2 linked regions of the Alligator mississippiensis genome follow. The protein of the gene in region 1 interacts with the protein of each later gene in a pairwise test. Links are inferred from orthologs where the notes say so. Each region holds a gene or a part of one and is shown on either strand. Other genes may lie near its edges.

Region 1 (15,668 bases):
ATGATTACACTGCTGCTTATGGGATGGAATGTCTCATTCAGCATAATTTGAGTCCCCCACAATAACTCAATTAACAGTGTACAAATGTATTAAAGAAAAACTGAGTTGATAAATTGATTGGCAGGATAATCGCAACTCTCCAGCCTTGAATACAAATCAGGATTATAACAAGAAGAAATAGAACAATAGGCTCTTTCCCAGTTCATAATTTGCAAGTATAGATCATTAAAGCAATTGAATTGAGATATTATTTTAGTAGGGAAGTAGTAATTCTTCTATCTCATCCACAATGAACTTTAATTGTAAGTTTATTATGATTCTTTTTTAATCACCTGTCCCTTAGAGCAGGCACATCCGAAACTCCAGGGGCCTAGGTTTTTTGTAAAATATATTCATTAGTATGCTACTTTGGGAAATCCATCCCTATGTAATGTTCATTATTAACATGAAAGATGCTGATTTTCAATAAAGATTTTAATCTTCATTACAAAGAATCAGAAAGTGTAGGAGACAATTTTAAATATTAATTGGCTCTTCAAATTTAATCTATAAACTTTCTGTGAAAATTTATGGTAAAATAAGCAACAGTTAAGCACTGTGCTAAAAAAATAGAAACACCCACCAAGATCTACAAAGCTAAAGAATTAGGCTAGCATGTTTAAAGCTCACCAGCTGATGCAGCCAACAGCACACAAGTAATGTGGTTAGTGGCCTACAACTAGGCATGAACGGTGCATGCCCCTGGCGGCTGAGGGTGCACGGCTGCGCTGGCGGCTGTGGGAGTGTGGCAGCAGTAGGCGCAGAGCTCTCGCAGATGCCATTGGCACTGTCAGCAGAGGGGGGGAGGTGGGTGGTGAGTGCCAACCAGGGGTCAGCGACCACCCTCAGGCAGCATCAACAATGGCCAGGGGCGATCGTGGACTGCCCACAGACGCTGCCAGTGGTGTTGGCGGTGGGGTGGCGAGTGGTGACCGCCCACAGATCAGCAGTGCCTTTTTGCAGGGGGTGCACTGCCATGCTCAGGGGGTGCACATTCACCCGTGTGCACCCCCTATGTGTCACCCCTGCAACTAGGTACTTATTTAATACTACTGCAATGGCTAGGTGAAGTCTTCAACACCAGCCCAGAGCAAAGCTCAAACTCTATCTCTGGAACTCCAGCAAGATTTTGAAACTATTCTGGCACTACACCAGGAGTTGGCAAACTTTCTAGAGTGGCAGGCTAAAATAATACAATTTGGTAGGAAGGGGGCCAGTGCTTCCAAACCAGTTATCTCTGCTTATCCCCACCATTGCATGTGCAACCTACCACAAAATCACTCTGCTGCCAAAATGCTGCCAACATTCATGCGTTGTGAGCTGAATGAAATTACTTGGCAAGCTGAATTAAATTTGCAGGCTGTGAGTTGCTGATCCTTATGTCATCCAGTACTGAGAACTAAGGCCTACAGTTTGTGACAGTGATTTTGTGAGCCTCTGCCTGGGACTTCCAATTTGAGGAAACTTAGGAGCTGAGTTTATTGATAGTGTAAAATCACCAGTTTCTGAAAATCAGTCCCCTTTTAATATTCAGGTTGGGAAATCGAAATCTTGAACATTTGTGCTAAAGAAAAAAGATATGAGATTAAATCCTATCTCAGCTTATATATAGTAGGGAAAAGTTGTAAAGTCCTCACAACCTCAGGTAACCTTACTTCTCCTTCCTGGATTTTATTCCATTGGCCTGGTGCCTCTGGTCTATCAATAGCTGCTCGTTGCACTGTTTATTAAATAAACTCTTTGGGATTGGGTCCATATTTTATTCTACAAAGTGTTCATAAAATCAGAGAGATGCATGTATCTCTAATGAAGAATCATCAGTGATTAAGAGTATTGGGAGCATTCCTCAGCCTACACCATTAAGGCTTCCATTGATGGTGCTTCCACTGCTGGTTTATTTTTGTTGGTTTCGCTGGGCTGAGAATATCTTTGAATCCTAACTACTAGTTTCAATTTTTTAAAATTTTCACAAAAAAAGAAAAAAACAGGAAACCCTTTAGACTTTAACTTATTTTTGCCCTTACCCGGAATGTTAATATGCTTTTCTAAAGTTTGAAGAAAATTTAAATTTAATGTTTAAAAAATGGAGAGTTTTTCCCATGCTTTTAATTTTTTTTCATATTGTTTTTTGTTTGGACTTGGATAATTCAAAGTCTCAAGCTGCACATGTATGTGCTCAAGAAACTACAGTATTTTATTTCTCAATCATTTTAAATATCATGAAATTGTCGTTGATTGCATATGATCCTAGACTTATTCTACATGTTTTCCTTACTAATTAAGTATGCATTAAACATGGATGTCTGCACCACTATGAGTATATATGGAAAGTAATGACTATAATAAATGCTGCTCGTACATTGTGCATAGTCCCTGAAATGGGGATACAGATTGGTATAAAAGAAACTTTTGTTTTTTCTTCTAAAAACAGCCAGTCATTCATTATCAATGCCACAAATCAGTGTTTGTGATATTACTATTGCTTTGATAGTTGATTGTATGATAGCTGATTGTTTAACTTACAAGCTCATAGTATACTGCAGTGGTTCCAAGGCACTCTTAGACTTAAGGCATGCCTCAGAAAATGCCAACTCAAAATTTTCACTCATATTTTGACTGCAGAAAAATAATAGAGCAATTTTTCTGTTGCAAAGAACTCAGAAAAACCATGGCAGGTTGGAACATTTTTAACACTATGGATTCCTATTTGAAATCTCTTGAGTTTATTGCATGAATCATGTTTGGGCACCTAACTATGCTAACATTATGTGGTACCCTTGAAAGGATCTCAGGGCATCTCAGGGTGCTTGTGGCACTCTGATTAGGAATGATTGGTATAGTGAATATACCAGTTAGTGGTATATATGGTGGTTACTGGTATAGTGGTATATGTATAGTGAATATACAGGTATAGGTATAATGAATATACCAGTACCACATTACATGGTACCCTTGAAAGGATCTTAAGGCACCTCAGGGTGCTGTAACACCCCGATTAGGAATTACTGGTCATAGGACAAAGCTATTCATACAGAAATACTGCTGGAAGTGGTCGTAAGGGGGGAAGAAGAAGTGTAAGCTTGCGATGGGTTCAAAAAATAGTGTAGCAAAACTGTAGGAATTTCATGTTTTTAACACAGTTCACAATGGCTGTTTAGAAATGTGAGGGGCAGAGGGGCACAGAATTCTCAGCCTGTAGTTTGTAATATGGAGGTGCAACTCTCTGAATTGAAAGAAAAATCTGGATAGGCTAGTAGGTGTTCAAAGCTTATGCCACACATTTACAATTTTGATTTTACTCATTGGAGTGGTGGTATGCATGCCTGTACACACATACAAATACATGCTAGCATGGGCAGAGCCAGGGTTTTGTAAAGGGGTTGTGCGGGAGCAGCAAATGACATTGAAGGGGTGGCTCCAGCCCTGCTCCTAGCTTCTCCTCTGCCCTCCTCGAGGGCAGGTGGACCATGCCATGGGAACAGCAGCTGGGGACCTCTTTGAGTCTCCAAATAGGGTAAGAAATCTGCCCCCCTCCCCTTGCCCCCTGTGCAGGGCATTCCCTCCCTTTCTCTCCATGCTCAGCTTCACATTCCCACCTCTCCTATTGCCTCTCCACCGCAGTGTGCAGCCAGGCTCAGCGGGGGACAATAGCAGCAGCAGTAGGCAGGTTCCCTGTCCCTGTGTCTGCTTCCAGACTGTGGGGGGAGGGGGGGGGGGAATCTACCCACTGCTGTGGTTGCTGCTGTCCCTGGCTGAGCCCAGCTCCCTGGAGAACCCAGCGGGAACACGGCAGGAGTGGCTCGGGAACTCCCCGCTGCCCCGAGTCACCTAGGGACAAGGGCAGCAGTGAGTGGGGGAAAATGGGGAGGAAGGAAAGGGATGTGCTGATGAGTATGGAGGGGAAGGGAGGGGGAAATTCTTCCCTGCTTCAGGGACTTACTATAAGTCCATGAATGCTGCCCCCACAGCATAGTCCAAAAGTGCAATGTGACTGTGCCACAGCACCTGCTTTGGATCTGCCCCTGCTAGCTAGCTAGCTTTTTATTATATTGTGTCTACACATTTCCTGGGGCTTGTCTTTTAAAACGAGTTGCTACCAATGAGCACAACCATATTAGAAGCACTAGGAGATCTAATGGTTACTTCACATCTGGCAGAGTGTGATCTACCCATGGTAGAATTATTCAATGCACATGGTTTCCTTTACACTAGGAAAGATTTTACTAAAAGACATTTTATATACGTAATAGAGTCAAAGACCAAATTAAGAACAACTCCCCTCCCACCGTCCAATCTAAAAAGGCACAACAACACAGCACTCCTTGAACTTAATACCAACTGGCATGCAAACAGTTTTCAGATGTTGGTAAACTCAGTTGCAATATTGAGTTTTTCAAGGATGTGAACAGATTGGAGAGAGTTCAGAGGAGGGCAATGAGAATGGTTAGGGGGCTCGGGCACATGACTGAGGAGAAGGTGCAGGAACTGGACTTAATCTGGAGAAGAGAAGACTAAAGGGGATTTAATAGTAGCCTTCAACTACCTGAAGGGTGGTTCCAAAGAGGATGGAGCTAAGACTCTGGTGACATGATAAAACAAGGAGCAATGGTCTCAAGTTGCAGCAAAGGAAGTTTAAGTTAGATATTAGGAAAAATGTTTTCACCAGGAGGATAGTAAAGTACTGGAACAGGTTACCCAGAGAGGTTGTGGACTCTCCATCCTTGGAGGTTTTTAAGACCTGCCTAGACAAAGCCTTGGCTGGAATAATATAGTTGGATAGAGGAGTTGGACTAGATGACCTCCTGAGGTCCCTTCTGCCCCTATTTTTCTATGATTCTATTGCAAGCAAATACATTAAAGGGGGTGGGCGGATAGAAAAATAAATGCCTCTGATGAAACTGGCAGATAAGGTTCTTTGGGTAAAGCTGATATTTTTTATTAGACCAACTCAAATAGTTGGAAAAATTCTTCTTTGCAAGCTTTTGGGTACAAATACCCTTTGTCATGCTGAGAAAGCATCTGCATTTGGTGTGTGCTCTTCCTGGATGGAATGAATAGCAAAGAAACCAGAGGCTGGTCTGCATGTGTAATCCAAGAACACCCAAGGGTGTGCCCGTCCTCAATTGGAAGGGATAGATGAGGCAGGCGACAGTGGTGTAAGAAGGACACCGGTGATTTGAGCTCAGGTCCCTCTTTTTTCTATACAGTCAACTCCACACCAATGCTCTTAACTATTTACAGTTTATTGAATTATAATATAAATATTATTCTTATCCAATATGTATAGGTAAGTATCCTAATAGGTATCAAAGGAAAACTTCCCAAAAGTATTCTTAATGATATCATTTCACAATACCAAAGGAATACAGATAAATATTTACAATATAAGCCAGGAACCCATTATACAAAACTAATCCAATCCCATAACATGTTGTACAACATATCCATAATTACAATAACAATCATACAAAATATGAGGCACAGTTTTACACGATATAAAGGCATGTTACCCCTGGATCCCAGCTAGCAAGGGGTGCTTCCTCTCCTATGGGTCTAGTTGGGAGGAATATTTTCATCCAGGGCGTCCCTCTGGGAGTGTGCCTTATTTCAGGAATGTCTCCCCTGCAGGACCTGAGTCCACCAGCAACTTACAATTTTCTTCGAGGAGCCATTGACCGGGCCTTGGGGCCCTCCGCTCAATCAGAGGCCTCACCAGTGCTGTCTGCTTCATGCCGAGACCTCCCCTCCTGGCCCTGTGTCCCACTTTGGGCACCGAGGGTTCTTCCAGCTCTCGTGGAAGGGAATCTAGCCGTCGCTGGCTGGGTTTATCTAGCCTTATGCCTGGGCCTCCCTTTTCCTGGGTCCTGCTCTAGGCTCCAGGGCTCTTTTAGTTCTTTGGCAGGGCCACACTGCGAGACTCCGGTTATCCGGCTTATGCTGGGGCTAACCTGAGCAGCCTCACGCTGCTCCCAGGGCAGGTTCTCCATGTGCCAGACTGCACACCGTGTGGGCCCGAGCAGCCTTGAGCTGCTCCTATGGCCGGCTCTCCGTGTGCTGGTCAGCACACCGCTCTGTCCAGCCCTCGGCTGGGGATGCAGGCTCGAGCTGCCTCGATGCGGCTCCCAGAACCTGAGCCCCATGTGCCAGCCTATGCACTGCTGCGGTGAAGAAGGGATCCTGGTCAAGGCTCTTCCCTCTCCAAGGTCTCTCACCACGCCCCCCTGCGTGGCTCATGCTGCTTCTTCATACCGTCAGCAGGCTCCACCCTGAAGTCCAATGGACCTGCAGCTTCCAGGTCTAAACTGCCTCTGGAGCTCCTTGGGAAAGGGGTGGTGCCAGCTCCTCCCTGCTCTTCCCTGATTGGTGGATGGGTGCCACCAATCGGCATTGAGAATTCTCAAGTCCAGGATGCACTGGGGCTCAAGCAGGTAAGTCTGCCCCATGCAAGACTGGCAACCAGGGAAGGTGTAAATTGAGGAGTCAGTGGGTGAGAGACAGGTTGCGGTGGGGGAGGGGAATGACTATAGCTGGTAAAAGTGGAGAGGTACCTGAGGAGTCAGATGTTAGGGGTGTTATAATGTGTCATAAATCCAACGTCTGTATTTAGTCCATTACTTTTTGTATCCGGGACTGTGATGTCAAGTTCATTGGCTTGTCTGTGAAAGGTCTTTTGTAAATTCCCTTTGAGGATTAGAAAGTATTATTATTTATTATTTTTAATTATTATTATTATTTATTAGACCAACTCAATAGTTGGAAAAATTGTAGTTGGAAAGCTTTCCGGTACAAACACCACTTTTCCGGGGGGGGGGGGGGTGCGTATTCTCTGGTAATTGTGTACGTGCACGTGCACGTGCCTACTGTGTTCTCTGGTAGGAGGGAGAGGGAGAGCGAGTACACGCCAGGGCTCAGAGTATTTCCCGGGAGGTTACTGTCCTCTTTCGTCTTCCAGCAGTTCTGCCATCCCTGCAGGAGGCTTTCTAATTCGGGACAGGAGGCAGGAATGGAGGCCAACGGGCGGCGGCGCCTCCAGAGACGGGAGACTGCAGTAGCAGATGGGAGGCAGCGCGGCGCGGAGCCGAGCCCCAGAGGGCGGGGACAAGAGGGGGCGCGGGACAGCGACCACAGATGCTGCGGCCGGGGGGGCGGGGCTCGGCGGGGGGCGGGGCCAGACGGGCCTCCGGGCTCACAGGCGGGGGCGGGGCGGCGCCGGGCCAATGGCAGCGGGGGCTGGGCGGGGCCGGGTTGCCGGAGCAGCAGCGGCCCAGCGGGCTGAGGGAGCGGCCGCGCTGCGCCATGGAGGGGCTGGAAGGTGAGGGGCGGCGGCCGCGCATCTCCTCCGTGCGGGCCGGGCCTGTGGGGCGCCGGGGCTCCGAGCTGGGCCCGGCGGAGGGGGCTGCTCCTGGGTCGGCCCGGCCCGCGCCGTGCCGCAGACAAAGGGCCGCTGCTGGCCCGAGCCGCTCCGCGCGCCTGGTGCCCCGGGGACCCCAGGAACGGCGGGGCGGGGCGGGGCGGGGGCGACTCCCGGCCTGGCCCGGCCGCGACGGAGAGGGGAGGGGGCTCCGGGGTGTCCGGCGCTGTGAGCAGGCCTCGAGCAGCCCCCGCGGGCTCCTGGCGCCCTTTTCTTTCGCGGGGTTGACAGCCGGCAGCTCTTCCCCCGGGGCCTGGCAGGGGGGGCAAGCCGGGTGGGGGGGTCTGATGCAATAAGTTTTTGGCCCCACCAAGTGTTTCTGGGGTGCACTCGGGGGAGGATGGATCTGGCCTTCAAGGGTGGGTGTGGCCTCTCCCACGAGGGTTTGCTCAGCGGAGGGGTGCCTGACTGGCCCTGCCTCCGTGTGGGAGCGTGGATAGCACCCAGGAGATCATAGTGGGGGGAGCATGCAGGCAGCATGGCTGCAGATAGGGCAGGGGGGCACAAGGAAGAAGAGGGCAGCAGCGGAGCAGGCGGAGGCAGGGCCAGGAGCTGAAAGTGGAGGGGGAAGCACAGGGCTGGGGGTCAAAAGTGCTGCAGATTGCACAGGGCAGGGGGATCCGAGTGGCACTCGCAAGTGTGGCAGCCCTCCCAAAAAGGTATGATGGCAGAATATGGCCTGCTCCTTCTCTCAGCACCGACTGGCTGGTTCAGAAACATGTCAAGAACCGTTTGCATTCTGTGTATTTTAGACAGCTTTTGGGACTAGATGGATGGATTATGACTATTCTAATATGAAATTTCTATAGATCAGGTGGCCCCTGGCACCATGGCATCTGGTCAACAGGGCTCCCCACGGGTTGGGAAATTTGGTGTCAGGGGAACAGTGACAGTTAATGCCATCTCCCTCTCCTGCTGCCAAATTCCTAAGCTCCATGGCCAACCCCCATGGCTGGCTTGGGGGCCAGGCCACATCCCCTTCCCCCAGGAAGCCTGGAAGCCTGGCTGTTCCCTCCTCCTGTAAGGCTGGATCAGGACTGGGTCATGCCTCATCACACCAGGTTGCAGCCAGGTTAAGTCCCCTTCCTTCAGGTGACTGGATCATAACTGGGCTGCCCCCAGGCCCTGGTTTGCCCTTCTCCGGAAGCCAGATCTGGGCTACCAGCACGATCTGGCCTGTGGATAGACAGGGAAAAAGATTGTGTACCCTTGCTATAGACCATATTCTCAATGGTGGTGCCATCTTTTTGAAAAATAAAATTGTTTTTATGGCATGAAACTTCTGTTTTCTTTAAGAGCATTTCTGATTGACTTGAACATAGCAAATGGTAGCAGAGATGTTGTTTTCTGTCCTTTTTATTTATTTGTTTATTTATTTAAATTAGTCATTTGTTTTTTTGTACAGATTGTTTTTCCATCTAACTTTTCTCCCACATAAATGTTCTGCGAGTTATGAAAAGTATGTATTCAGTAGCTTCTTGACTTATCATTGTATTTCAATATTTCAGTCATTTAATTTCAATGAGAAGTAGTTTTTTTCTGTTTCAAAGTATTATCTAGCAACACTTCATCCATTCTTGTTGCTGTAAGAACGGCTGGGTATATATGTAAACTGCTTTTGTTTACTTTTGTTGAATCTGCACCTCTTCTGGCTGTGAAAGTGTTAGATCTCACAAGTTGTCTCACAAATCATGTCTAATCAATATTTGTGTGGAAAGGTAGGGTCCAAAGTAAGGATGACAAAGTGTATGTTGAAGTATTTCAGAAGACAGACTGCTACTTGATGAGTCATTCCTGAACTTGATACTGTTGTTGGAGGTGCCCTCTTCGATTTAAATACATGTATTGAGAACAGAATGCTTTTAGTGTGGGATGCCACCCATCTTTGAAACTTGATCTTCTTTTTTTCCCCCTCCAGAGAGCTTAGAATCATAAGATACAAAATCTATTTTGAACCAGCTTCTAATTAATAAGTGGGGAATTTTATAGTGAGGGATGCAGGAAGTTATTTGGGCAATATTGGGTGCATCTACACATGAAACTAGTGCACTTGAATAAACTGGTGCATTTCGCACCAGAGTTTATTGCTCCTAACCACAGTGTTTACACATGTGCCTGGGCCGCAGCACATTAAGCCAGGGTGGTGCAGCCCTGCCTGGCGGGGGAGCTGGGGGGTGAGCCTGCTCTGCCCTGGCTCAAGCGTGCTGTAGAGGGGCTGACTGGGGCACGAGGGTGGAGATAGCTGGCAGGCAGCCCCCACAGTGCAGCACCCTTGTGCCCCAGCCAGCCCCAGTCACTATTTACTCTACTGCAGCACACTTGTAGACATCTTTGCTTTAGTAAGATAGTACTTGTCAGGCAGTGCTGTCTTACTGGGGAGTTAACTACTTTAGTCTGGCCTAATACTAGTGTTGCTCGTGTAGACGGTGATGCTTTACTGCAGAGGTAATTAGTCAACTCCATAGTAAAATGCACATGTAGATGCCCTACTGAATAGTGTATGTTTATGTGATCCTACTGATTAGATCTTGGAGCTGTTAGTAGTATTCAAAGAGCTTAATTACAAGTTTTGTATTGTAATTCCATCCCACAGCAAGTATGTTAGAGCTGTCTAGATTTGTAATGAGATTGAAGCAAACCTTCTCTGACATGGCTTCATTACTTTGCCGAAACTTGCTTCGATTTTCTTTTTCTTTCATTCTTTTTTTTTCCCCCCCACACCTCCCTCAACCTTTAGTTTTGTCACTTCCTACACTGATTCTGAAAGCCAGATCTTGAACCTACTAAGTTGGCTGCAGGAAGACCAGGTCTTGCACATGTTATTTAAAGTGACAAAACTGTCATTATAGGTTTTTACAGCTAAATCTAAAACTGCTTGCTTAGCTTTCTAAAGGCATTGTGGAATCTGCATGCTAATAAGATGTTTTCCTGAGGAAAAAAAAATGTTTTTATTAACTTACCATTTAGCTCTTTAAGAAATAAATTTTTGAAGACAGTGCAGGGCCTGATTTTTTCAGATGTGCTGACTGATATATCTGTAGTTTCCATAACTTTAGTTGAAGTTTTTGTTGCTGAGAGCCTTTAAAAATTAGTTCCATGGTTTTTCAGGGCCATAAATAGGAATAATTTGATAGATTAGCTAGGGACAGAAAGATCTTATAATAGTCATCATAAAATGTTTTATGAAAATGAACATAATTGCATTTCAAGCATTCCTGCCTGAAATGGGACACCCAACAACTTACCTGCACTGTGGTTTATAACAGGATTTCAAAACATGTTAAAGTATTACACTGGGCTTGTGTCATGGTGACTCATGTGACTTCTGTTCTATGGTTTTATAGTTATATTTTCCTCCTTCTTAAAAAAAAAAAAAAAAAAAAAAATCCTCTCTCTCTGGTTGCTTGGAAGGCCAGAGTTGTTATTGACAACTTCAGTTTGTTTACTCTATTTAGAAAGAGCTTGCATTGGAACTGAAATAGTTGAATAAGTCGAAAGGAAGAAATTATTCCTTCCACGCTTGCAGAAGAGGCTATTCATGTTGAAAAACAGCATTGCAGTTCAAGAAATGTGGTTTCAGCCAAGGCCTTCTAATTCAGTGGTTTGACTTTCTTTACTGCTTCAGCAACAAACATGTACTGCTTAAGGTTTTTTAATTAAATTTAATTTATTGTTTTAATAGATTATGACAGGCATCAGCCTTAACATAGGTTTTTCATAATTTTAAATTAAATTTTAGATGTTTAGCTACCACTTGTCTTCATTGATAGTTGAACTCTCCGCTGATAAACCAATTCTCTTGGGTAGGCACTAGATTGATTACATTTCAACAGTATAGTGTTTGAGTGACCTTCCATTATCAGCATTGTGCCAATACTCCTCAAGAATCTTAGTCCATGACAGAGATAAAAAGAGAGAAGATTGATAAAGACCAAGAATCTTGAAGTAGAGCTTGCAGTATGACACAATGGACAGAATCTCAAATGGAATCCATAGTTCATATGTAATTTCCTCAGATCATTGCAGTCCTCCAGTGACTGGCCACATTTGTCTAATAATTACTTTTTTGAAATTTATATGGGCCTAATCTAAGCATCTTGAGGTTGAGCGCATCAAACCATGCTGTTGATACATGTCGGGGTGGCATAGTTGCTTCTAATTCACAATGAAATTAAGTTATTTAAAACAAAGTTTATATTAACAAGCTATGATGATCTCTAAGTATAGAGATCCCTAAAATATATATTTTGCATATTGTTTTTCATGCATCACAAACTGACTAATGGATTATATGTTTCAATTCATGAAAGGTGCAAAGTTGTTATAATTCTTATCTGAGTGCCTGGCTTTTCTGAGAGTAGGAGCCTGTTTCAGGACTCCTGCTTCTAACTTGAGGTCACTGTTATCTCTTCAATTCTTAACATTGTTGAATTTGATTACTGTCATGCTTCCAGACATCCCACCGCATGAGATTAAGCTTCATGCTGAATGCTGGGAAGTGGGAATGAGACTGGCAGACTTGCTGGTATAATGCAGACACATGCTTTGTGGATATATTCAGTCTCTAATTAACCAGTGTTTTAGAAAGTGAGTAATGATTGGTCTGCTTCATAGGGATTCCTTCTGACAGTTTATATTGTCATTTCTAAAATGGAGGGTTGCTTTTCCTGTACTTTTTTGGCACTGCAAAAACAATATGGATTCCCCATCTTCCAAAGACCTGTATTCAAACATAAAACCTTCCCAGTGACCTTAGCAATATTAAGACAAACTAACTTTGTGAATGTAAAGTCAATGCAGATCAAGTGTGAACTTGATGAAGGTGGGGTATGAGTTACTTTCTGTTATCTCTTGTGAATGGAATAAAACTTATAGTGTCTTTATTAATAGCATTTAAAATAGGATGGTAGAGAAACTTCCACAATTCTTTCTTCTTAAATTATACAGTCTTCTTAAACAGTCAAAAAGTTTTTGGTGTGTAGTGTGTGTTCTGGTATGTCCTGACTCTACTTATTATTTGCTAAGATTGAAGGACCTGCCCCTCACTAGAAGTATATAAAAGGATGAGAATTGAGAGAGAGCTTTATTTGTAACTGTGGTTAAAATCGACTGGCTTCTTGTGCTCTTGGATATCTAATGTGAGGCAGTCTAGTGAATAGTTCATCCAGACTGGAGTGGATTGCCAAAAGTAAGTCTTTGCGACTTTGCATTTCTCAAACAAAGGTATTGAGTGTTGTTAGTTACAGCGTGCAGAGTACCTTATGTATGTGCCCTCTACCATTTATTTGCATTTTTATCATGTTTGAAATACAGACTTGGATAGCATGTAACATTCACATGGAAAATTTATAAAATTGACAGCCCATTTTATTAATTATCATTAGTATTAATTATCATTATCATGATCATTATTTGTATTCCTCCCCTTACCTACCTGCCTTAGCCCTTTATATATTTTTAATAAGCCGTCTCAAGAAATATTTCTTAGTGTGGTATATTTGTTATTGCACCTTCACTTTTGTTTGCTTATCTCCTCTCTGTTTAAAATTATTAGGGATATTATAGCAATGCAGACAACATGGAACAGTGAAAATATAATGGCAGTGGTGTTCATCCACTGGCTATTGTCTGAGTTGACGTTAGCCAGCCGCAATGTCTTTTCAAAACAAAAGAATATGAGGGGGGTATAAGGACTGAGCTTTCTATTTCGCTGAATTAAATGGAAAACTAGGAAGTTAGGGAAGAATGTATTCTGTTCTGGAAAATATGCTAAAAATGGTGAAAATTGGAATTGTACATGATACTTTTTGCTGAAGTTGAATAATTTTGACTGTATGACTGGATGATTTCTAAAAGTGAATGGGATGCCATACCAGAGAGTTTTAACAATTTTGAATGGGGTAAGGTTTAATAGTGTTAATATTTTTTTCATCACTAGAAAGGCTAAGGTACTAGACTGTTGGAGCTAGACTGTTCTTAGTGGTGGCATATGCTGCAACTCGAGACCATTGCTCTTTTTTCTATCAAGGGAAGTTTAGGTTGGATATTAGGAATAATTTTCTAACTAGGAAGGCAGTAAAACACTGGAACAGGTTACCCAGAGACGTGGTAGAATCTCCATCCTTGGAAGTTTTTAAGACCCAGCTAGGCAAAGCTTTGGCTGGAATGATCTAGTTGGGGATGGTCCTGCTTTGAGCAGGGGACTGAACTAGATGACCTCCTGAGGTCCCTTCCAACCCTTATTTTCTATGAAAAAGGACTTTATTCGTGCAACAATGAACAAGGGATCTAAAAGGCATTTGAAAGGACTGTCATACCCTTATTACTACATATAATTAGTATCTTTTAACTTTTGATATTTTTAGCTTATAAAGTGTATCATACATAAGTTATTACACACTACTTTTAAAAACAAAGAAGAAAACTACAATAACATTTCAATCTATAAAAGTTCAGTGACACCTTCTAAATCTCTGAGTAACCTGCTGAGCCTTCCCTGTTAGTAAAAACATAAGCAAATGGGGCTCACAGTTTACCCTTCAATAGGCAGCTTGTGAAATTTTAAGTGGAAGCACATACTGGAAGTCAAGGGGATAAACCTAGCTATTAGCAATTTGTATGTTCCATCATATCTCAACTGCTCTATTAGAACACTAGAATATTGTGTCCAATATAGGTCCGAATGTACCTGTAAGTGTTCTGAAAGGCAGAGCACAGGCTTTCTGTGGTCTGTGTGACTGATACTGATAAGTAAGTAGCTAGCCAAATTCTGAAGATTTCAAGAGGTAATCATAGATTGGTCCATCCAGTAAATAGGTAAAAGTCTGTAGTCAAAGATGGAAAGGTCTGCTATATACAACTATATAGTAGAGCTAGAGCCACATCTAAAATGAGTGCTTGCAGTATCTAATGGTTGCATTAAACAGTCTAGCAAATTTTTTTAATGTATTTGGGGTAACTTCTTGGCACAGGTAGTAGAGAGGCCAACTTGCAGGGAATGGGCAATGGTGGGGTGGAGTTCTTCCTGGCTTGTTGCTCACAAATAGGAAGGAATTGCTTGAGAGTGTGAAGATAACTTGGGTGATAATGACCACAAAATGACAGAGTTCGGAATCCTAAAGCTGGGCAGGATTCCTGGGCGGGGGGGAGGAATCCAGGAGAGCTGGCTTTACTTCAAGGAGGCCATTTTCAGAGTTCAAGAGCAAAGTATCCTAATGCAACAGAAACATGAGAAGTGTAATGGTTTCAAACTCAAAAAGGGATCCTACAAACAGTGGAAACGTGGTCGTATTACTAGAGACAAGTATAACTGTTTTGTACAGCTATGCAGGAAAAAATTAGGAAAGCCAAGGCATGATTTGAGCTGCAATTAGCAAGGGATATAAGGCAATTAAAAGGGGTTACACGAATATGACAGAAGTAGGAGGAAAACCAAGGAAACGATAAGTCCTTTACTAAATGCAAAAGGGGAGAACCTAGGTATGGATGATGCAGAGAAGCCTGAAGAATTTGATGTCTTCTTTTTTTTACCTCAATATACACAAATAAGTTCAACTAATAGACTAACCCCTTTCTGCCTGGAGTGAGCCTCATCCGCATCCTGCCCCAGCCCGGCCCTGGCTGGGCAAGCGGCAGCAGGGCAGAGGTCCCGCTCCCAGCGCTGCCATGCCCAGATCCCATGTCCTCCTGCCCCACTCCTCATGTAACCCATCCCCTGCCCGAGCTGGGCAGTTTGTTCCTGTCCCAGCCCAAATGCCTTCCTCCCCCCTTCCACAACCCCAACAGATTTACCAGCTGGAGGCAGCTGCCTGTTTAGGTTATGGCCAAATCTTTTTCTGAAGCTTTTCTAAATTGATTCGGATGCTTTGAATCATTTTGGAGCTTTTAATTGGTTTCCTGATTTGATTTGGATTTAGAGATTTGGTCCCTGAATCAGGCCAAATCTCCTCTGAATTAAATCAGCTACCAAAGTTTTGCACAGTCTTAGAGCTCTGTATTAGCAGTACTTCAACCAGCATAGTCCTGTTGTTTCCCTCTTTGCCTTTGCTGTTATGTAACATGGAAGCATAAGGGACAGAGACCAAGAAAGGACAGAGCAGAACTTTTTTTCTTAAGTGAGTATATATGGGGTAGATAATTACTATTAGTTATGTTCTCTTCCAGGGAGGAAATGCAAGTCATATGACAGCTTTTCCTATCACACCTACTTAGAGCAGGT
Region 2 (15,692 bases), on another chromosome or scaffold:
AGTCTGGTTCCTTCTGACTGGATGTCAATACCAAAGAGACTCCACCACAATTGCCTCCAATTAACACCTTTCTGGGTACCCTCAAGGCACAAGTGGGATAAAAGGACTGTAGTAATTAAATTTCCCTCTTGCCTCTAGAGGAGATTTCTGTGGATATAGAATCATAGAAAATTAGGGTTGGAGGGGACCTCAGGAGTTCATCTAGTGCAATCCCCTGCTCAAAGCAGGACCATCCCCAACTAGATCATTCCAGCCACAGCTTTGTCAAGCTGGGCCTTAAAAACCTCCAAGGATGGAGATTCTACCAACTCTCGGCTTCACAACCCTCCCAGTGAGAGAGTTTTTCCTAACATTCAACCTTAACTTCCTTTGCTGCAACTTGTGACCACTGCTCCTTGTTCTGTCATCTGCCACCACTGAGAATAGTGGTTCTCAGTGATTCAGTATAAATCGAGGCACTTTGGATAGGAGAACAGGGCAATGCAGGGGGTAGGGCTGCATCAGCAAAGCCAGCATCACTTCTGTCCTGGAAATAAACATAAAAAGAGTTCCAGCAGTGGGAATGACTGCTGAGAGATGTGAGAGTGTCTCCTACTCCCAGGGGCTGGAAGGCCTGGCATAGAAGTAAAAGGCACAGAAACAGCTGCTTTGAATTAAGGAACAGCAGGGTTCAAAGCCAGGTGACAACATGCAGTTAGCATGAATGGTTGGTATCAAGATCCAAAGCAACACAGTCACTGTGCCTTGCTGCAGTTGACTGGGGTTTCCCTGTACATTCAGTTTGGTACCCAGTGAGCAAGGATGGCAACTTATCCACCAAACACTCTTCACTTTGAACCTGCAGAGGGAGAAAAGGAAGGGCCAGGTCAGGTTGCTCCTTAAGCACTGCCACTAAAATCCTGCCCAGGGTTCTAATTTAGTATCAGCCCAGGAAAACATGGCAAGACAGAGTTCTCTACACGCGTTCTCCCTGGGCAACCCCAGCAAGAACTGCTGCGTTTGGAACGTGCTGCAGTGGTGAAGGAACCTTATCAGGAAGGTCGCTAAAAAAAAATAAAGGCAGGCAATCATGAGTCCTTCAAAGAGCCAAGGCACAGATAAGAGCTGCATCAGCCCTGTCTCCCAAGACCGAGAGAGATCCTGGACTCTTCTGGAAAAGAACAAATTAGCCTGTGGGATCAGAAACTGTTGAATTAGAGCTGGGTCTGGACAATTCCAGAGGCAAACATGTCGGAGTAATGGGGGGGACATCAGAGCTGGATCCAGATCGTGATGTGAAAACTGTTGCCACTCATGTTTCCAGTATACGTGCATCAACTGATTGGGCACGGCTCAGTTCAACCAAAGAAACAACAAGGCTGTTTAAAAAAATGGGATGGAGCAGACTGCACTGCAGGGCCTGATTCCACAGTTTCTCTGACATGTGCTGGAAAGGTTGTATTTAACACAGTTGGAAAAGGGGTGGGGATTTCAGTACTGGTGATCTGAATGCTGGTCACATTATCTTCACACTCTCAAAGTCCCTGGGTGGAATCAGAGCTGGGTAAAACTCCCAAAGCTGGTGAAGGTTCAACCTGACGTGCACTAAATTTCCACTGTTCAAGTGGATCATGCGTCTTGGCATCTGAGAAATGGTCTATAATTTGGATCCTATAGGTTAGGGGAAAAGCCCCAAATCTAACACAAGTACATATGTATCTGAGAACCTCAGTGCTATGCACAAGGGGAATATTACTTCCAGTTTAGAGATGGGAAAGCTGAGGCATGGTAGGGATACTGACCATAGACTAGTATCCAGGCAAAATCCAATATCCAATATTGGAGACTGATTTATTTATTGGCCTTAACTGAGGCACAGTGTGAGCATGCGCAGTTTCACAGTAGTAAGTGAAGTGACCTCTGGGGAATCAAGCTGGGGGAAACACCTTATATCCTGGGCCATAATTTACCTGCTTCTGTCCTGTGACAGAACCCACTGGAAACCGAATATGAGACTTCAATTGTAGAACTATATCTCGCAATTGAATTCTCATATTCAGTTTCCAGTGTGTTCTGCAAACTGGTTTCTTTCCCTTTAAAATCTGAGTCACAGGAAACCTACAAGAAAAAAAAGAAAAGAGTGAAATCTCCCCACAGGGGATGTGAAAGGAAACTCTAGCCTGCAACATGCTGTGCTGTGTGAACTTCACTTAAATGAGGCAGTTACATTCAAAGGCAGGACCTGGGCAGAAGCCAGGTCTGTGCGGGTAATGCTGTCTGCTTAGGCTTCTGGACAAATGGAAAATGTGATCTTGCTCTCTTCTGTCCAAGATGCTTTTAAAGTAGAAAATTGTCGGGACCTGGTTTGTTTGGTGAGTTAGGGGAAGCTGCAGTGTATCAGATTGTATCTTTGCCATCCTTTCACAGCTACACCAATCCCAGTACTTCCTTCCAATTTAAAGTCACCTGGTGAAATGCAAAGATGTTCCTGAGCTTGTAGATTTTGGAATCTGATCTCTGAAAGCAATGCAAGCAATTCCTTAGAAGGAATCTTGTGTGTGTTTCATTGAGATATAGAACATCTCGTGATGTCCTGCTCAGTTTCATTTTGAATTTTCCGGTCTAAGTCTCATGCACACCATTTCTGATTTGCTTTTGAAAGAGGGACAAATGTGTGTGTGGGGGGGGGGGGGGGGGGCGGGGTGTGGAAAGAGAAAGATCAGTGCAGTGGGGGCCTGGGGATAAATGCCAGTGAACATACCTTGGAACCTAAAGCCTGGGGCCTTTGGATTAACATACTTCTGAATATTTACTGTTTTGCTATGAAGGAGTCTTTCTAGTAGAAGCTGATCCAGGATCTCTGGTATGACATGCCTGATAGAGATAGTATAGGCACCTGAGTCCCAATGCAAAGGAGACCCATTGTACTGGCTGCCTAAATCCCAGGGAATTCAATTGAAAGGTCCTTCTGGTTGAAGGTGGAAAGGCAGGAAGGGTTGTTACATGGGCAGATATAGGATTTTGAAAAGAGGGGTTGCTGATAGTATAGAGCAGGGGTGGGCAAAATGCAGCTCGCTGGCTGGATGCAGCCCACCAGGCCATTCTATCTGGCCCATGGGGGCCCCTAAAAATTTTAGAAAATTAATATTTATCTGCCCTGGGCTGCCTGTCATGAAGCCCTTGATGGCTTGCCAAAACTCAGTAAGCGGCTCTCCGCCCAAAATAATTGCCTGCCCCTAGTATAGAGTACCTCAATACACATTGTTCTCCAGTTGAAAAGAAACTAGAAGCTATAATAAACTAGGTGCCAATCAGTTTAAGATTGAAGCAAAAACAAATACAACTTCATTGGAATGTGCATTACTTTGCTATATTATATACATTTAAAAAAACCACAACAAACTAGGCAAAACAAAGTCAAAAGATGTTGTTTCATTAGTTCTGTAGCTGCATCCCTTTAGTTCTCTGGAGACGATGGCAGTTCTTCATGCTGGTCATTGGTTGTCTCGGCTGTTCATCAAGTTGCAAACATTCCATGCTGCAAAAATCATTGTCTCATGAAGCTATCAAGCAGAGTAATCCCACTGGTTGCAGTTATACAGCCAGGAGCATATAATGCAGCCTAGGTTTAGGGCACCTCTTCTAGCCCCCTCCCCATGTAGGGTGTGTATAGAGGATCCTGAATAAGACTGCTCAGTCATGGCAGCAGCTGCTGAATTGCACTCCTGTCTCAACCCAGCTGCAGGACAACCATCCAGCTACTGCCACCTGCATGCAGATTCAGGGCTGGAGACTGCCAGATTCAATAGTCCTATCTCTGTCACCACTGATCCATCACCGCAGGGCTTTTAAAGGTTGGTATGAGAGAGTGTTGTTTCCTGTGATAAAAACCTGTGCATGACTTTGTTTAATAGGAAGAAGCTAGTGCATGGAAACAACAACCACAAGATCTTAACAAGGTGGAGATCTGGAGCCAGTGGCAAGGGAGAATCCCAGATAACATGAATACCTCCCCCCTTCCTGTAACTTTTTTCTGTCTTTACAGTGGTTGAGATCCTGGCATCTTTTTCCACCTGATCCGCTTGGGAGTAGACCATGGTGGAACCTCCCGTCAAGCTTCTTCACCATGGGTGACCCTGCCAGGAGTGTAAGACTGTGGACAACATAGCTCTGAGGATCACTGTGAAATATAAGCCTCTCCACTACTACAATGTCTTGGTCCACAGAGAGGATTGCTGTCGACGTCTCCTTTTTCAAATTCATAAAACAAAGTCTAGCCTTCTTAAGCATTTTGACAGTGAATCCAATGCTTCTCTTGAAAGTTATTTCTGTAAGTTAATGTTTCCACACTGCATTAATGCTTTTACCTAGCATTAAAAACAGTCTGTGGGGCTGTGAAACAAGAGTTAAGGGCATCTAACACAGCAGACTTGCAGAAGAAAGGATAGCTTAATTAGTGGAACATCAAGATCATTAAAAAGGAGAGGTTCATTAACTCCTGTGGAATGAAGATTTTAGAAGGAATTCAATAATAAAGAACCATGAGATCAAGTGACTCATTCTCTGATACCTGAATAGAAATACTGCTGTCACTGCTAGGCAGTTGGTTTTAAACTTTGGGTGGACCAAAAATCAAAGGAGGCTACAACTGCACCACTGCACCCCCCTGAATCCACCCCTGGTTGTTTAGTATTGGCCAGATCTACAGATAAATGCTTAGTTTAGGGGATCTCAGATAGAACAAACTGTTGTTCATGTGCTGTACATGCTCTTAATCATGGCAGCTGCAAACCTGGAGTAACTTAATTGATTCATAGGAGTTTCTCCAGACTTACATAGTTGTAACTCAGAGCAGGATTTAGCTCAGATGTTGTTAAACTAAGAAGGCATGTTAGCAAAGTGGTATGAACCCAATGGTAGCACCTAATTGACCTAGACTGGGGTAGTTTGTAATTGTCTGCAGCCACCCATGCAAGTGACAGACCTCTGCTTCAGCACATGCTAATTAGCACATGTGGGAGCAGACTCAATGAACTAGTCTGCTGGAGCATGCTAATTAGCCTTTGCATCAGGTGTATTCAGCGTCCCCGCATTTCAAAATGGCGGTGGCGGCATTTAACTAAAGCTTGTTGAACAGCTTTAGTTAAAGAGTCCCCACTGCCATTTTGAAGCACAGGACGCTGAGTACATGTGACGCTGTAAGCGCTTTAATTAGAGCGGCTCTCAGAGTCTCTAATTAAAGTGTCCACCCTAGAGCACGTGTATAGACACCCTACATCTTTAATCAGAAGTGGCTGCCTGATTAGGTTACAGTTCCCAGCATACAATATCGTATCTGGCTGCTTGGCCTGTGAGTAAATGTGGCATCCTTGTATCTATACTCTCCAGGGCCATGAGACAGATCTCCGGGGGCTGCATTCAAGGACCACACAGCTGTTAGGAATATCGGTGCGGCATGAAAAGCAGAGAAATCATGGGGAGAAAAGAGTCTGTTGCTAGTGGTTACATTTTCCAGTGCACTACATATCATTGTTAAACGGCTCACCAGTCAGATCAACAAGCCTTGAAGTGGGTCACTCTGAGCATCTCATAGACATTGAATGGGAGCCCTCTGAAGCTCAGGATGCTGAATACAAGAGATGCCGCAGGCACTTTAATTACAGCAGCTCTAATTAAAGCACCCCCCCCCACCCCAGAGAACATGTAAGTACACCCTGTGCGACTAACAAATACTCACCAGCTTGCAGGATCCCATCTGCTGTTACCAGGGCTGTCCCTTCCCTGGGGGGGCGAATCGGGGCGATCGCCCCAGGCCTCACGCTCTGGGGGGGCTCCATGGTCAGTGCAGTATAGGCCCCGCTGCGGCTGCCACGCATGGCTGCTGCTGAGCACCACCGGCTCTGGCTGCTCGCCACCCGCCCCCACAGCTCCGCCAGCTCCTGTTGCTTGCCACACCTCCCCCTCCCCCTGGACCCCTCACACCCCTAGGGACAGCTCTGACTGTTACCCTCTTCCTGCTCTTATTCAACTCAGTGTATTTGCCATGGATTTCAAATGCAGTCAGTTTAAGGCTTTATTTTGCAACAAACCATACAGTTTGAAGAGTGGCTCTTAACCTATCTTTACTTAAGAAGAAAATATGTAGGGTTGCCTTCTAATGTCTGAGTCAAAGGGACTAATGCGGTTACTCATGCTGCCAACTATCCTAGTTGTACGTTAACTCATACAACCGAGGCCTACAGTTCAGGTGCTGTGCACCAGGGGTTTGTTCCCAGCTCGCCTGTGATTTATTATCTAGTAATTGTGTATTTGGTTTGCAGTACGTGGCTACAGTAGTGTTGTGTGGTGCTTTAATGAGCATTGTTTCCATGCTGGTTGCACAACCTCTCTCTCTGATATTATCTTCCCATTTGAAGATTGCCATTGATGGAAAGTTCCTAGCTCCTTTACATGCCAGTGAAAGCTTGTCTGTGTTTCAGAGTTAACGTTTCCTGGAAATCACCATTATACAGTGACAGTGGAGTTTGGCCTTTGTGGTGAGTTTGTGCTGATTCCAGACCCAACTTCATAATTCAATGCATGCAGCACATTCCTTGCGAGCACCACTGTTAAATAGTTTCATCCTGAGCCTGAGCTTGAAACTATGCTCTACTTACTTTCTGGCCTAGGAAAGGGTGAAAACACTGCAGTCATATTTGAATGTTGAGGGTTTGTAAATTAGAAGAACCACAAAAATATTTGGATTCAAGAATGGAAAAGTTATACCAGTCATAGGGATTATTATTACTTTACAGCATCTGCAAATACACTAAAACCTCAGCTTAGCAAAAAACATGCAAATGTGCTTTAATTGTAAGCACAAGTAGTGAATGAACCAGGCACTGACTTGAGGTATTTGGGCAAGGTAGGGTATAAGTGCTTTGCAGAATCTATTCCTGTAAGAGGCAGGTATTTGTCTTTGATAATTTACAGCCTAAATAATGGCAGACAGAAGAAGATATGAGCTACCCTGAGAGGAGGAGGAGGAGGAGGGAAGCAAGGTTACAGAAAGAAGATAGTTAGGTTACTTAGTTTAGGCCACAAGCTAAAAATATATTTTGATGATCCACAAGCTGCGAGGACTGGATAACCCAAGTGCAGACTCACTCTTTTCTTTGGGAAGCAACCCAGAATGATTTAAAAGCACTCTAGGAGCAGGTGGAGAAGAGTTTCTTATTTCATGCAGAGATTGGCCCAAACCAAAACTGCACCATTTCCTCCCAACCTCTCCTGATGTAGTTGTACTTCTTGGCCAGCTACACCCTTGACCTAGTGAGTTTGGCTGTAGTAACCGCCTATGATCTTAAAAGTCCTCTCAGGGTTTGCCTCATGTCCTAGTCCTAGCCAATCATTAACTGCCCAGTAAAGGATCACACTAGGATGGATTGTTAGTGGGTTATTCATTGGATTTATTTATCTTTGTGTCCTTATCCCTTCCTATTAATCTCTTACCTTCTGACCAGTGATCTAAGCACATTGCCTTCATCATGGCTGGGGCTGCTGTGTGAAGGGGCATGTAGAGCAAAGAGGCATCCATGAAGCTGAGTGTAAGGGGATGTTGCTGGATCATTGTGGGGAAAGGTAGCTCATGGCTTCACAGGTGTCTACTGGCCTTGAGAAGGAAAACACCTAGATTCTCAGTACTAGCAGGCAGTCAGAAGCTGTTCAACTGAAGGCTAGTGGGTAGCTGTGGTACAGAGGGGGGGGGGCATGGTGGCAGCAAGCAGGGAGCTCCCGCAGGTGGAGGTGGCAGAGTCAGCAGCGATGGGGTGTGAGCACCAACCAGTGGTTGGCGACCATCCATAGACACTGCTGGTGGCGGAAGTGTCGGCCAGCAGTGATCGGTGACCGCCTGCAAATGCCACTGACATTGTCAGCTGCAGAGGGTGAGGGGGTGGCAAGTGGCAACCACCCACAGGCACCACCAGCATCATTGGCAATGGCCAATCACAGGGGTGCACCACCAATCTCAGGGGGTGCATGTGCACCTGTGTGCAACCCTTATGCATCGCCAATGACTTGAACCATTATTTTTTTTGTCTGGAGAAGCAGAGGCTCCAATGTCACCAATGCCCTTGGCTACAGGTTGGAATACCAGGTTCTTGGAGTCTGGGACTGACCCAGGAAAATGGGCAACTTCAGCTAGTATGTATAGGGCTATCCTTGTGATGTTCACGTGGGCCAGCTTGCTGTGAAATGTGCAAGAGTCTGCTTTCATAAGACAGAATGAAGATTCGCTACCTCATCCAGACAACACTTTGTGCATGGCGCTGTACAGGAGCCAGCGGGCTGCGCGAGGAGGCGCGTCCGACCGCAGGCGGGGCTGCCACCCACGTGCGGGCCCCCCGGCCCCTCCCCGTGGGCGGGGCGGCCCCTTTATAGTGGCGGCGCTGGGCGCGGCCCCCTCGTCCCGGCGCGGGGCGCGGGCGGCGACCACCATGGACCTGCAGATCCTGGAGCACCGCGTGCGGGTGCTGAGCGTGGCCCGCCGCGGGCTCTGGCTCTACACGCACCCGCTGCTCAAGCTGCTCTTCTTGCCGCAGCGCAGCAGGTACCGGCGGCGCCCGGGCCGCGCGGGGGGAGCGGGTCCGTGGGCGGCGCGGCGCGGCGCGGCGCGGGCTGCCCCGCCGTGGGCTCCGGGTGATTCCGCTGAGGGCCCGGGGTGGAGGCTTCTGCCTTCCTGGGGGTGGGACTGCTGGCGAAGACGCAGCCCCTTGCCTGCCGTCCCGGGGTTGGTGTTTGCTCCGGAGACGGCTGTTTGGGTTTTTTCCTTCCTTCCTTCCTTCCTTCCTTTTTTCCCGACCTTGGAGAAGACTGATGTGAATGAAGTAAGAGTTGTAGGAAGTGCCACAGTGGCTGCTTGGGGTTGGCAGCTGCCTGGCCTAGCGCTGTGCTGGGCAGAGCCGGCAGGGCCACGACCTCCTCCAAGCGCCTTGTGCCTTGGGGGCCCTCTCATGCTGCCCCCTCCGGCCTGTCCAAGCGCTGGTGCGAGGCAGCTGCTGTGTGCCCCGCCTGCTGCTCCCTGCCTTGCATCAGGCTCCTTGGTGATTCAGCAGCTGGAGACTTTTCCTTGTTGCGATTTGCTCGCAAAATGTAAGTCTGTCTGATTGGTGTTTGGGAGTGAAATTGCCCCCAGGCCCAGACTCCTGGCTCTGCTCGTGGGAGCCTGTTTCCCTGTGCTGCTGCTTGTTCTCTCCACTGGGGCTAGAGAAGCTCGCTTCTAAATTCATGGGTCCTTTTTAAAACTGCTCCTCTGACTGTAACAGCCCTTATCCAACTCCTTCCAGCTTCCCAGAGGGTGTCTGCAGGGCATCTTATTTAAAATTGGTTCTTGTCACACTTCAGAGTCTTTGTGTAGACAAAAGAGAAAGAGAGCCTATAAAGCCAAACTGCAGCTAAAGTTGGATTGTATCTTTACACGCCAAACCAACAGCCCTGTAGGGATACTTTCAGCTGCGAAGAAGGGGAGTGAGGTCCTGCCTGCTTAAAAAAAGAAGTCGTGCTCACCCCACCCCACCTTTTTAAATGCTCAAGAAAAGCAGTGTTCCTCATACTCATGGACCACCACAGTGTTTCATAAGTGTCATCTGCTGTATACATGGCTTTAGTTCAGTTTTCAGAAGGAAATTAAGCAAATGGGGAGGGGAACTGCTTTAGGAGGCAGGAAAACTCCTTACCTCTCCACACATAATAGGAATTGATTTTGCCTGTGGCTAATGACCGATTCTATAGTACTGGCTCATGTGCATCACCTGTATTTGCTTTGGTAGGTGCAAGTTCTTTAGCTTGACCGAGACTCCTGAGGACTACACGATCATGCTAGATGAAGAAGGCTTTAAAGGTACAGCATAAGGACTTCTGTACGTCCAGGTTATAGTTCATGGCAACAGTGTATTTTATTTCACTGCCATATAACTACTGTTCTAACCCATTATTTTTCTCCACTGCAGTGAAAACCCTGCATGTGTTTGTATAAGGTAATAGGGTTGCCCCCCCCCCCCCCCCCCCCCCCCCTCGATACTATCATTAGTTGTATGGCTTTTTCTTTTACATCCTTTTGTCACAGAGCATGCAGGGCTGTATGAATAACCTGTAAGTCTTCTGACCTATTTTTTTTGTTGTGGATGCTTATGTAGAGCTGTATTGCATGTTTTGTAGCTGACTGAACATGTTAATGAGGGCTCCTCTGGTATTAGCTTATTGTATATGAGATGCAAATATTTAAAAAGGAAACTATGTGCAAGTATCAACCAGCTGTAGAAGGTGCTTAGTGGTTCTCAACCTAATACTTGTCAGGGGAGGTTTCTGTACATTAGTAAACTCTTCAGAGCATGTGGCAACATCCAGACTTAGAGTTATATGTCCCTGAAGAGGAGCTACTAGCTTACACTGCTGGTAAAGTTAACATCACAACAGAACATTACTGGCTTTCTTCTGGAAGCCAAATGGGTACTATTGGTGTAGTCCTGCCAAGTTTACTTTGTTATAAGTAGACTCTTCATAGGTAATCCAGTAAGTGGTAAAACATGCATGGAAAAGCCGCAGGAGATTTTGCTGTAGCACAGGGGTCAGCAACTTGTTTAGGCAGAGTGCCAGTAGCAGCCCATCCTTGACTTGTAAGATGTTGGCATGCCAGGGGCCAGATGGTGGGGCAGCTGTGAGGGGCCTGATCCTTGTTTTGGAAGTGCAGCTTGGCCCCTTCTCTGCTATCTGCCCTGAGGAATGTGTGTCAAGCAAAATGCCTTTGCATGCCACACTCTGGCATGTGTGCGGGGGTTACAAACCCCTGCTCTAGCAGCTGCTGGTAGTTTTTTTGCTGAGACCTGTTAAAAATGTCAGTCTTGCAGCGTTCCTAATACAGCTGAAGTAGTGTTGGGAAAGGATAAATGCTGAAGCTTCTCTAAAACCGTGGTGGGGCTGGGAGGAAGGGAGTAGCAGCGGAAGGAGAAGGATAAGCAGCCTGTAGGGAAGGTTCTGTGCAGAAGCTCTATGGTGGAGTAGAGAGATGGTAGCCTAGCTACCATAGTAGGGTCTCTTTTATGCTAATATGATGCCTAATTCTGTCCAAAAAGATGTGCTGTCCTTGGCATGTCTTGGGATAATATTCCTGAGCCTGTCCCTCTTCCCCCAACTGCTTCTGCTTACACACATGTAGCCTGGATATGTGGTAGGAATGCTGCTTGAGGGGCACTTCCTCCATGCTGTTTCTTGAGACCAGCATCTGGGATGATGCGGGGACTGCTTCACTACCCTATTTCCAGGTTTGGCATGTGTGGGTAGGAGTGAGCGTGCATGGGAGTTTCCCCCCAAGTCGCAGGAGACCCAGCATAGACATAGGCAGAGTAACTAGTAAATTCTCTACCTCTTACTCTTGTTTAAAATAATATAAATGATAATGTATGAATCTCTAGCTATGGATACCATTAAGTACTGGGCTGTCGCTGTCACAGCAAACCAGGGAGGGCCTGCTGCCATGCAAGAAAAGGAACCTGGCTGGTACTCCATGCCCATGAGATATGGTGTTTTTTAGTACTTGGCACAGGTATGACATTGTCCCAGGACACACTGATAGTATATCTGGGGAGAAATTGGGGGTCCAGGAACCTATTGTTTCTTATACTTATGTCATGTGGGTAGCTAACCTGTTATACTAGCCAAAAAGACTCAGTGAAAACTACCAAAATGGTTTCCCTCTTCTTCCAAACAAAAACTGGGTTGGGTGATTTGTTCCTATGCATAGATTTGTACTACTTGCTGGAGGCTTGTCAGAGGTGAGGGGAAGGGACCCTGTAATTGCAACTATGTGTATTTATGTAACTGCATCCAGCCACATGGGTGATGCTGGGGAAGGTGAAGCTGAAATAAACCTTGGTGGTGTTGTAGCTTTCTCTGGCATGCAACATACACATGTCCAGTGAGTGAGGCCTCTGACCTGTCAGAGGCTGAAGCAGATCTCTTTGCAAACTGGATGCATTTGATTTCCTACACCTGTGCCTTCCTGTTGAAGGACAGCACAGGCTGGCACAGAATGAAATGAATCTTTTTTGGATCTGGCCCAGAAAATGTCACTGACCTGGATGCTCCGCTCAGGTTTGCTGCTTCTTCCCAGCTGCAGCACATGGGTGTGTCGCACTTGGTACTGCAGGTTAGACTGGGTCTGATGGCTTTGCCAGTTGGCAGCAGTTGACAGTGGTTCACATAGCATAAATCTGCTACTTGGTGTTCATACTTGAGCTCCTAACCTGTTACAAACTCCCCTGACCTGCTGAGGCTGGTCTGGGATCTGTCACTTCAGTGCATGGGGTAGTGTGTGGTTCAACAGAATTTTACCTTGAAAGTTAAAGTTGCTATGATACAAAAAGCTTTAAGACTAGGCCTCTGTTGTCAGTCTTAGTGTAACAGCTTCTCAAAAGCTGTTTGTTTTAATGCATTTGTATATAGGAGAAAAACCCATGGTGGGGAGGAAGAATGCAGAGCAGTGAATTTGAGAGGAGTGTTACAGACTCTGTTGGATTACTCTTTCTATTCCAAGCTGTAATTTCCAGCAAAGTAAAAACTCTTTAGTGGGTTGTTATGAAGCCAGCCCATAGAAGTACACGGAAGCAGCCACATGCAGTGATATAGCTGTACAGTTTGAGAATAGCCATGAAATGAGCAAATGAACTAAACTAAATGCTGTGAAGTTTATAGTATGTCAGACAAGGAGCATATTAAATCATAGCCACTCTGTTGTAATTATTGCAGCCTCCTGATGCAGAAGGATTGCTCAGGAGCTTACATGGTGCTGGTTAAGGTAGTAACAAGCTGGTGTCAAGTACTCATGTGCCTGTGCAGTACGAGTACCTTAGTAGTGCCAATGCAAAGCCCTACACCAGCATTGCTGTATGGCAGGATGCATTTCCTTAGTGTAGACAGGATCCTTGAACAGGGGTTAGCCACGTCTGACCCATGGGCTCGATCTGGCCTGTGCAACCTGAGGGCATTGCTTATGTCTGTGCTGGGGCTAGGCAGCAGGGAGCTGTCCTGGGGCTAAGCAGTTAGAAGCTGTACCTTAGGGGTGGGCAAAATGTGGCCTGGGGGCCGGATGCAGCCTGCTAGGCCATTCTATCCAGCCTGCGGGGCCCCTAAAAAAAAATTTAGAAAATAAATATTAATCTGCCCTGGGCTGCCTGTCGTGTGGCCCTCGATGGCTTGCTGAAACTCGGTAAGTTGCCCCCTGCCCAAAATAATTGCCTGTCCCTGCTATATCTGCATCATGGCTGCTTCCCCTTGGCTGCGGTGTAGGTGCAGCTTCCAGCTAGTGGGCAGCTGAGCTGGGGATGGGTAGCTTCCAGTTGCACCCATACTGCAGCCAAGTGGGTAGAGTGCAGGCAGGGTGGCAGGGAGAAGGAGCAGATGTGCTGAAGCAGCTGGAAGCTGGAAGTTGCACAGCTCCTTGCTGGCTAGAGGCTGTGCCCATGCTGCAGCTGAGGAGCATGGAGCAGGGAGAAGCAGAAGTCTGGGTGCAAATCCCAGCTTCCCTGTCCCAGCACAGCTCCCCTCTGTGGCAGGGGCTGGGATAAGCAGTGGTGATGCAGACTTGGCTCACAGCTGTCTGGCCTAGCAGTGCATCGATAAAGATTTTCTTGGCCAATACTGATAGCAGATTGATTATTAACTAGCCATATTGGCCAATGCCAATCCAATATTCGATTTCCAGGAATGTAGCTGGGCAGCTTGGAGAGCACCGCTCTGTTGGTAAGTCTGTGCAGGGGGGAAGGAGCATGGGGGAGAGAAAAGGCTTGGGGAGGGGAGCAGATTGAAGCCCCTAGGGTGAGGGAGGGAGTGGGGCTGGGGAAAGTGCTGCTTAGCCAGGGTGGTGAATGGGACCCCAGGGCCAGGAGTGGGATGGAGCTGTGCGCAGCTTGTCCAGGAGGCATGGGGAGGAGGGGTGGCTCCCTGCTGCCATGCACATCCCCAGCAGAAGCATGGGAGGCATGTGCTCCCCAGATGGGGGGAGAGGGGGGCTGTATGCTTGGGGCTAGGAGCTGCACCAGCCTTTTCCCAGCAGGGATGCTAGGCTGGGCTTGGGGTGGACTTGACCGTGTGGGGTGGGTGATGGCAGTGCTGGGAGGGGAGCTGTGGGGGGCCTGTGGGGAATTTTAGGGCAGCTATAGCCCTCCCTAGTGCCACCCCTGCCCAGGGAATGCCACTCTGTTGCCTTTTCCTTGAGCTCTGTGCTGGTCCTGTATGGTGCTTCTGAGGGAAAGGAAGCAGAATGGAGTGCCCCAAGCAAGGGTGGTGCTGGGGGGCTTGAGCTATAGCCACCCCTCCTATGCTACTGCCACCTGCCCTGAGCCCAGCCCTGATCCAGCTCCCCTGCCAGGAAGAGGCTGGCGCAGCCACTGACCCCAAGCCTGCAGTGGGCAGCCTGCCGTGGAGGTACGTGCCCCCCATGCTTCCCCCGGGGATGCACACAGCAGTGGGGAGCCACCCCCCTCCCACCCGCCTGCACCCTCTGGATGAGCCACCCACAGCTCCATCCCACTCCTGTCCCTGGGGTCCCATTCACCGCCCTGGCTGGGCAGCCCTTGCACCTGCCCCACTCCTTCACTGTGGGGGGCCTTGATCTGCTGCCCCATGCCTCTTCCTGGCCCCCCTCCACCCCATAGACTTACTGGCAGGATGCTGCTCTCTAAGCTGCCCAGCTGCATTCCTGGCCGTGTGTAGTGCATGTGCACAGCCACATGCAATGGCATTTATCGGTGACATGATCAGCTACACAGGCCAAAAAAAGCTGATGGTGCATAGTTTTCCCTTTACTGGTTCTGATCTGATATGCAACCAATCGATCAGTGCACCTCTAGTCTGGCCCCAGCATGGGTGCAGGCAAACCTCCACCCCCTCACTGCTGACACTGCCAAAGCCACTGGCCTGTGCTGGACTATGGGATGTTTTGGCCTGTAGCTTGGAAAGGTAGCTGGTTTCTGTGCTAGAGAGTAAGGCTAAACAGTGTATCCAAGGCAGGTTGGAAGAACAGAATGGCCAAAACTTTGCAACCAACTTTTAGTTTAAGTTGCAGATGTTTGACTCAGAGTGCTAGAGTGAAGACTTTCTACATTTGTGATAAAGGAGTGACTCCCTTAGTTGGTGGTAGTGATAAGTGTGGTCTGGATGTGATTCGCACAGATGGTTTGGATGTATAACTCACACTGGCAGTGTCACTATTAGCTGAGAAAGCTAATAGGAGTCCACAGCCAGTCTCCTTACCTATAAGCAGTAGGTAGGATGTCAGCTACCCTGGTTGTTACCTGGTTCGGGAAAGAGATAACATCAAAGATCACTATACGTTCACATCTTCCTACACAGCTAGTGTTAAATTCAAAGTAACATTACAAATGAGAAATTATGGTAAGTTTTTTAAATACCAGCTCTTACTACTGGCCAAATAAAAATAATATCTATATGTGATTAAAGAGATTAGCAAGGAGGCTATAACCAAAGAGTCAAGAATCTCTCTGTTATGTAAGGTTAATAATGCCTGGCTCGTGCCATTTTATCCTGGTTCATTTACTCTCCTTCTTTTCTCCTCTTGCCCTAAACTTCTAACTCAGAAACCAACCCTCTCCATTGAGATTTGCTAGAACAGCTCCTGCAGAAAAGAGTCCTGTGAGAAAAGGGCCAAACAGGGTTTG

The links.
Region 2: the proteins of ZC2HC1A (region 1) and CASTOR1 interact in binary tests that used the Homo sapiens proteins (3 or more experiments, as listed by UniProt). The two-hybrid records come from large-scale screens. The link is inferred for Alligator mississippiensis from reciprocal best matches to the Homo sapiens genes ZC2HC1A and CASTOR1.

What each region holds. Positions count from the first base shown.
Region 1 is NC_081826.1:55,108,854-55,124,521, reverse strand, and holds the start of ZC2HC1A (zinc finger C2HC domain-containing protein 1A), read left to right. Parts: upstream 1-7,270; 5' UTR 7,271-7,335; coding exon 7,336-7,351; intron 7,352-15,668.
Region 2 is NC_081833.1:27,635,068-27,650,759, reverse strand, and holds the start of CASTOR1 (cytosolic arginine sensor for mTORC1 subunit 1), read left to right. Parts: upstream 1-8,416; 5' UTR 8,417-8,456; coding exon 8,457-8,569; intron 8,570-9,788; coding exon 9,789-9,859; intron 9,860-15,692. UniProt on the Homo sapiens protein: Functions as an intracellular arginine sensor within the amino acid-sensing branch of the TORC1 signaling pathway. As a homodimer or a heterodimer with CASTOR2, binds and inhibits the GATOR subcomplex GATOR2 and thereby mTORC1.